2 linked regions of the Callithrix jacchus genome follow. The protein of the gene in region 1 purifies or fractionates together with the protein of each later gene. This does not show direct contact. Links are inferred from orthologs where the notes say so. Each region holds a gene or a part of one and is shown in the gene's direction. Other genes may lie near its edges.

Evidence for each region.
Region 2: the proteins of PSTPIP1 (region 1) and WAS purify together in Homo sapiens (affinity purification with western blotting; 3 studies listed by BioGRID and IntAct, with this or other methods). This does not show direct contact. The link is inferred for Callithrix jacchus from reciprocal best matches to the Homo sapiens genes PSTPIP1 and WAS.

The regions. Positions count from the first base shown.
Region 1 is NC_133509.1:24,007,753-24,011,657, reverse strand, and holds the start of PSTPIP1 (proline-serine-threonine phosphatase-interacting protein 1), read left to right. Parts: upstream 1-1,206; 5' UTR 1,207-1,639; coding exon 1,640-1,675; intron 1,676-3,905. UniProt on the Homo sapiens protein: Involved in regulation of the actin cytoskeleton. May regulate WAS actin-bundling activity. Bridges the interaction between ABL1 and PTPN18 leading to ABL1 dephosphorylation.
Region 2 is NC_133524.1:49,251,276-49,255,180, forward strand, and holds the start of WAS (actin nucleation-promoting factor WAS), read left to right. Parts: upstream 1-1,224; 5' UTR 1,225-1,271; coding exon 1,272-1,403; intron 1,404-1,704; coding exon 1,705-1,845; intron 1,846-2,374; exon of another isoform or gene 2,375-2,509; intron 2,510-3,139; coding exon 3,140-3,226; intron 3,227-3,326; coding exon 3,327-3,429; intron 3,430-3,542; coding exon 3,543-3,584; intron 3,585-3,677; coding exon 3,678-3,731; intron 3,732-3,905. UniProt on the Homo sapiens protein: Effector protein for Rho-type GTPases that regulates actin filament reorganization via its interaction with the Arp2/3 complex. Important for efficient actin polymerization. Possible regulator of lymphocyte and platelet function.

The DNA.
Region 1 (3,905 bases):
CCCTGACTGGGCAGCCTTAAGGTTAAAGGTGTTTATTAGCTCAAGTCCAAGGTTTCTGGAGATGAGGGCCTTCTGGGGGCAGTCCCTTCACTCTGCAGTTCTCGTGGAAGTGTTTCCTCTTGGGTGGCTATTTCAGAGCCTGGGTGTGCCCCCCTCTCTAAACCCTGGGCGTGCATAATGGGCACTTGTGAGCTCAGCTATTTCATCTGCAGCCGCTCTCATCTGTCTTATCACCCCGTCAGCTGTAAGGCAGACATCAGTGAGAGTGGTAATTTGTGGACAATCCCTGACTCACCCGGGGCCTTCTGCTGAGCAGGCAAGGCCTGGCGCCTCAGGACTCAGGGCTCGGCTGGGATCTGGCCCAGGGCTCCTCCTAAGGTGGTCCAGCACACACAGTGCCCCCAGCAACTGCCCGCCAAACTGGAGATTCCAGAAATGTTCTTGACACCGTCTCCTTTCCAAAGACTGGGGGTGGCAGATGGGGAAACTGAGGCTCCGTGAGTTGGAGGGTCTTTTAAGGTCCCTCAGCCCCTGAAGGGTAGGGTCAAAACTAAACAAAAACTAGGTCTCAGCCTGGGTCTCCAAACACCCCACATTCTGTGCCTTGATAATCCTGTTTCTCTCTCCATCCCTTCCCATTCACTGAGCCTGAAGACTCCATCTTCAGAGGAGGGCTCTCTGCTCCAAAGGGCATCTAATCTGGAGTCGTGCGGTGGTGGCAGTGGGGGGCGGGGCAGTGCTGGGCTTGAGGCTGTTCTCCCTCATATGCTGTCTCTCACCTCGTCTCTGTGTGTTCACAGCCCCCAGAGCACAGCTGTGTCTGCCTCCAGACCGTGAGCTCCTTGAGGGCAGGACCTGGTCCCACCGGAGCAGCCAGGTTCTGAGGAACGTCCTAGGCCTGGGTGAGCCCCTCCGGAATGGCTTAGGGGTGAGGGGTGGAGTCTAGTGTCTCTGGGCCCAGCCTGGAGGAGTGCTGGGCTGGAGGGTGACACACCTGGGGCTCCTGGGCCCCTCCTGGCCACACTGTCAGTGGGCCTCAAGCTCCCTTAGCGCATGGCCTCTGGAATAAAATGAGCCCGCGCCTCGGAAGGGGGCAGGAAGAGGCAGGAGTAGGGTGGCAGGTGGCAGGCGGGGCTGCACAGGGGAGAGCCACAGCTCCACTTCCTGTGGGCGACGGCCCGTGCCTGCCCCCGGGGGAGGTTGCACAAACCTTACTGCGTAGGTCGGGCTGCCTGCCCGCCTGGCCTGTGCTCCAGCCTGCCTCTTCCACTGGCCACTGCCTCCCCCCCGGGGCTGGCATCCCTGCTCCCTGCCCTGGGTCCCAGACTGTGTCCTCCATCTCCGCAGGGTCGGCGAGGGGCTGGGCTGGACACCAGGATCCGCCCTCCCATCACTGAGCTCCGCTCCTTCCTCATTTTGCTGCCGATTCTAGCCCCAAACAAAACAGGTTGAGCCTTTTTCCTCCCCTCGGCAGCTCCTCCTGGCTCGTGGCTGCCTTCTGAGTGCTGCAGACGGCGCCGGCCGGGAAGGGGGGCCTGGGCCAGCCCTGCCAGGACTGGGACGGTGCTCCTGGCGTACGGCCCTCCATCAGGCCAGCCTGTGGCAGGAGAGCGAGCTTTGCCGTGGCAGACGCCTGAGAATGATGCCCCAGCTGCAGTTCAAAGATGCCTTTTGGGTAAGTGAGGATGGCTGGGGGCACTGGACAAGTGGAGCGGGCAGAGCGAGGCTGAAATCTCCGTGGGGCCACGGAATGCGGCTCCAAGAGGGCAGCTTTCTCATCAAATAGTGGTTGATTCTTGGTCTTAATCGTTGCGGAGGCGGCCCGGGGCCCCCACCCTCTCTGGGTTGGAAGGCAAACGGACTCCGTGAGTGAGGGGCCTCCTCTCTGCTGCCCCAGCTGTTTTCTCCTCTGAAAGACCTCTCCCCACAGCAGGAGCCCCTTAGGAGAGGCTAACACTTGGGTGCGGGTTTGAAGAGCATGTGTGGGGTAGCAAAGGAGGGGATGCAGATTTAGGGACCAGAGAAACTTGGGTTCAGGTCTTGGCTCTGTTACTTAAGGGCTGGGTGAGACATTTCTTTTTCTGAGCCTCAGTCTCTCCATCTATATAATGGGGATAGATATCAACACATCAACTAAAGCATTGGATCAAGCAAGGGGACCAATTGGACACGCTAAAGCCCCCCAGCACCTTGCCTCACTCCAAATGGTAATTCTTGTCCCCTCATCCAGCCCCTTGTCCCTTGCAGACCTTAGGGGTCCTTCCAGGAGGCACCCAGGCGGGAATTGCTTGCTTACTTTCTTAAATTCAACACGGGCTTACATCTAGTCATTTCCCCATGAAATAAGGGCGCCCAGCCTGTGGTAGAGGTGAAGTGGCTTGGCCCAGGCGGCGTAGCCTGAAGCCCAGCTTGGAGTCCCAGATCATCTCAGCAATTTTCCAGCTGTCCTTCAACCACCCCTCTGCCCCTCAGCTCTGTCTGTGCCCAGGGCTCTGGGGAAAAGCTGAGACCTCTTGGAGCTGGGGAATATGGGTGTCCTGGGGTGCTGCTGCCAACCCTGACGAGGACCCTCTGGCCCTCGGCTTAGCCTGCTGAGCCCCGGCCAACAACCTGGCCCTCCCCGGGCCCTTTCCTGGGGCTGCGGCCAGGAGGATGAGAGCTGCAGAGCCAGGCCTTCCTTCCCTTCCGGCCAGTTCCACTTGGGGCCTGTGGCCAGCGTGTGAGCGTTCTGCTTCCTCTCCACTGACTGCACAGTAGGCAAAGGACTCCCCGTGGGGAGGGCGCCTTGTGCCTTTCTGGGCTTTGGCTTCCCCATCTCTAAAGAGAGGGTGGGCCAGCCCAGAGAAGCCAATGGAAGCAGAGCTGCCTCAGCCCATCCGGAGGACCAGGCACCAGGATGCCCACGGCCCAAGCTGGCAGCCGCAGCCCTGGCGGGAGGGAGGTGAGGTCACCACATCGCTGCCCTGCCTTGGTGTGCAAAGTTGGGGGAAGGGGTAGGTGGAAACCCAGGCCACTCTGTAGCCCTAGGCAGTCCAGGACCCCCTGACTATTTTAACACTGAGTCCTCTGTCCAGGCCCAGAGCCCCTGGGCCTGCCTTCCCTAGGGCAGAGCTGGACAAGGAGCAGGCTCAATGGCAGGGTCTGGCACAGATAGGGGTGGCATATAATGGAGCAGGGTGTGGCGACAGCACAGAAGCAAGTAACCAGCCCCTGTGGAGCTTCCTGGGCGGCATCCTGCCTACACTCTGCGCTCATCACACCTCTGGGCTTCCTGGCTTCCAACTGCTTGCCCTCCTCTGTGGCTGGCTCCCTGGGTCTGGGGCAGGCCGACAGTTTCCCTAGGGAAGGCCACAGCAGGAAGGGGTGAGAAGTAGCCAGTGGGAACCTCTCACACTGAGTCTGGGCGGACACCCTGAAAGGTCATTGTAGGCACCACCTGGCCCAGGGCTCTGGATGCAAACACCTCCTGGTGCTCAGCCCATCCCAGTGCACACAACAACTAACATTTGCTGAGCATGAAGGATGTGCCAGGCGCTGTTCTCAAGATGTCTGCATAGTCACCCATTCAATCCTCAAAACAGATGCTACTGTTATCTCTTCCATTCAGATGAGGAAACTGAGGCACAGAGACAATCAGAGACTGGCACAAGGTCACACAGCTGGAATTAAACCCCTGGCAGGTGGGCTCCAGAGCCTGTGTGGTTGCAGGATCCCTCTCTCTACCTATCACTGAATCTTTTGGCTTCAGGGTAAAGAAGAAATCCTCTTAGCTCCCAGAGGGGTAAGAAGATCAGACAAGGCGGCAAGAACAGTGTTTTGAAGCTCTATTCGCAGACCAATCTGTAAAACAGAAAAGGCACACTACTCTGACTGCAGGGCTTATGTTAGGTACAGCCCAGGAACCT
Region 2 (3,905 bases), on another chromosome or scaffold:
CACCCGCCACCATGCCCAGCTAATTTTTTTGTATTTTTAGTAGAGACGGGGTTTCACCATGTTGACCGGGATGGTCTCGATCTCTTGACCTCGTGATCCACCTGCCTTGGCCTCCCAAAGTGCTGGTATTACAGGCTTGAGCCACCGTGCCTGGCCCTAAAGTTCCTTTCTTTAAAAAAGGGATGACAAGCAGAAAGTAATTTGGGAGCTGTGGAGAGGCAAGGTAAGGGATGGGGGAGTGAACCAGAGGCATATGCGTAATTGGCAGTGTCTGGGTACTCAGGATAGGGGTGGATCACAAGGGCTCGCTCTGTAATTAAAAGGAAAGGGTTTTTTTGTTTGTTTTTGAGACAGAGTCTTGCTCTGTCATCATCCAGAATGGCATGCAGTGGTTCGATCTCAGCTCACTGCAACCTCTGCCTCCCAGGTTCAAGTGATTCTCCTGCCTCAGCCTCCTGAGTAGCTAGGACTATAAGTGTGTGCCATCATGCCTGGATAATTTTGGTAATTTTTTTTCTTTTTCTTTCATTTTTTAGAGATGGGGTGTCACCATGTTGGCCAGGCTGGTCTTGAACTCCTGACCTCAGGTGATCCACCCATCTCAGCCTCCCAAAGTGCTGGGATTACAGGCGTGAGCCACTGTGCCTGGCCTAATTTTTGTATTTTTTAGTAGAGATGGGGTTTCACCATATTGCCCAGGATGGTCTTTAACTCCTGACTTCAAGTGATCTGCTCGCCTCGGCCTCCCAAAGTGTTGGGATTACAGGCGTGAGCCACCGCGCCTGGCCAAAAGGAAAAATGTTACTGTAGTAACCCTTCAGCACTAGGGACCTAGAGCCTTAGTCTCAGGCTACCTGGGTGCCTTACAAAGGAGGCCACCCAGGCCCATGGCTACTCTTTGCCACAGGGAGCCCTGCACACAGATGTGCTGCTGATGGCTAAGCTCTCACTGCCTGCCAGAGGGAGGAGGGTCTGAGCCAGTCAGAGGAGATAGGCCCCAGAGAGTAAGAAAGACGGAGGAGGAGGACCCAAGCTGATCCAAAAGATGGGTCTAAGCAGTTAAGTGGAAGAGGGTTCCAATCTGATGGCAGAGGGCCCAAGCTTGGCCTAATGAGGAGGAGGCCAGGCCCACCAAGGGGCCCCTGGAGTACTTGTTTCACTTGTCCCTTGTGGGTTTTTGCACTTCCTGTTCCCTTGCTGCTCACTGCGGAAGTTCCTCTTCTTACCCTGCACCCAGAGCCTCACTGGAGAAGACAAGGACAGAAAGCACCATGAGTGGGGGCCCAATGGGAGGAAGGCCCGGGGGCCGAGGAGCACCAGTGGTTCAGCAGAACATACCGTCCACCCTCCTCCAGGACCACGAGAACCAGCGACTCTTTGAGATGCTTGGACGAAAATGCTTGGTGAGCTGGGGATCTCCTGCCCCCGCCCCGTCCTCACTGTTTCCTCCTCTTCCTCTCCGCCTTCTCTTTCTTCCCCTCCTCCCGCTCCTCCTTTCCCTCTCCATCATCTTCTCTCCTAGAATCTCCTGTCATCGTCCACCCTTCCCAGGAAGAACCCAATGTCTACTTGCTTTCCCTCTGGCTGCATGCAGTTCTTCCTTCAGGCCCACGACTGTCATGAGGCAGGAAGGACCAGGTCTGGCTCCAAGACCCTGTGGCTACACCTGACCAGACTCCACTGACCCCTGCTTTCCCCTCCCAGACGCTGGCCACCGCAGTTGTTCAGCTGTACCTGGCGCTGCCCCCTGGAGCTGAGCACTGGACCAAGGAGCATTGTGGGGCTGTGTGCTTCGTGAAGGATAACCCCAAGAAGTCCTACTTCATCCGCCTTTATGGCCTTCAGGTGACTCCCACCCCCCTACTGGACTTGCAAGCCAGTTCTCAACTCACAAACCCAGATCTGTCAAATCTGTGTCCATCTGTGTCCATCGCCCCAAGACCTCAGACCTGATTAATGAATCCCTGAGCCCCAGAACCAAAGACTCAGCCAGATGGCAAACTGTAGCTTGCCTTTCTAAGTCTACAATGACTGGCCTCAGCCTCCATATCAAAATCTCTAAAGCCCCCCAATTATTAGTATACTGCCTAAGCCTAATCTTTTCTACAAATTCCAAGAAATGAGCACTGTATTTATACCTGAATCTATTCTAAACTCAACATTTTGCATCCCAGGAATCCTTCATCAAAACTCTTGAACCCCAGATGTTTGCCAAGCTCCTAAGTCATAAATCAGTTCCCCAAACCCCAAACTTGAATATTCCATTGATCCTTGAACTCCACATCTGTCCTTTTAAATCCACAGCACAGACCCCAGAGTTCCCATATTAAAATTCCTGAACACTCAAATACCAAGGTAGTTTTTTTTTTTTAACCTATGTGTCCAAGGCATGAACCAGGCATAGGCACAGATCAAGAGCCAAGCTGGGATGAACAAGGGGTTGCTTTGTCCCTGGCTGATATGAGATGGGCACTACCAACCAGATGCCACTCTACCCAGGTCAGGGACACAAGGTAGTTCTTAAGAAAAAAGTCTTTTTCACAATCCCCCAACCTGAACTTTCTAGGTTTAAGCCCCAAATTCATCCTTCTAAACCCATAAAGATGGACTCAGCATAACTTCAAGATCCCAAGCCTGTCAAAGCTTGACCAAACTCCTAAGCCATGACTCTTCTCCACAAACCCCAAATTGCACTTACTTTAGCTGGACTCCCCACAAAACTCCCAAATCTATGTGTTTGAACTTCAAATCTCAACTCTAACTCCCAAATACCAGAATCCTACCTGTCATTAATTGGGGCTGGGGTGGCAGGGAAGGGCACAGATTGAGTCTCTGAATGAGTCTCAACTTCCTAAGACTAGAGTCCTAAATTATGAAATTCAAGCTCCCGAGTCCCACATCTAGGGCCCTGAACCCCAAATCCAAACCTCTCACAAAAGTGTCTGACTCCTAGATTGTACCCCAACTCCCCACATCCACACTGTTAGATTCCCCAGCTCTCTGGTACTGAGCTAAAAATCTCCAAACCAGACTATGAGACCCCCAAATCCAGACACCCTGCTCCCTGCCCAGCTAACAAAGGCCTGCCACCCCCGGCTTGCCTCAGTGCCACTGTGTCTCCCACCCTACACCTCTCCAGGCTGGTCGGCTTCTCTGGGAACAGGAGCTGTACTCACAGCTTGTCTACTCCACCCCCACCCCCTTCTTCCACACCTTCACTGGAGATGTAAGTGACCAACCAGCCCTTGAGCCTCACTTGGGTTTTGGAGAGGAGATGGGAAAGCTGCGGGGGACCTGGGAGGTGGCTGACCCCAAGGTATGTGCAGGACTGCCAAGCGGGGCTGAACTTTGCAGACGAGGGCGAGGCCCAGGCCTTCCAGGCCCTGGTGCAGGAGAAGATACAAAAAAGGAATCAGAGGCAAAGTGGAGGTGAGGAGGCTGCAGGGGAGGAAAGGAAATTGGGCAGAAGTGAGTGTAAGTATGGGAAACTAGAAAAGTCTCCTCTCATGGTTTTCACTCCCAATCCATCTGTCTATCCACAGACAGACACCAACTACCCCCACCACCAACACCAGCCAATGAAGGTGAGTCCTCTAGTACAAGTAGGGGTAATAAGGGGCTATCCCAAGAACCTGTGGCAGAGTTGTGATAGCTCTTGACACATCCCATCTTCCCAGAGAGAAGAGGAGGGCTCCCACCCCTGCCCCCACACCCAGGTGGAGACCAAGGAGGTGCGTGCTGATTCTTCCCTGTGTCTCTGGATGGATGGGTGGGTAGGTGGAAGAGTGGATGGAGGAATGAGCAGTTGGATGGGTGCCTAAGTGGGTGAATGGATGGGTATGTGGATGGATGAGTGGGTGCATGGATGTGGGGATCGATGGACGGGTGGGTGGATTCGTGGCAGA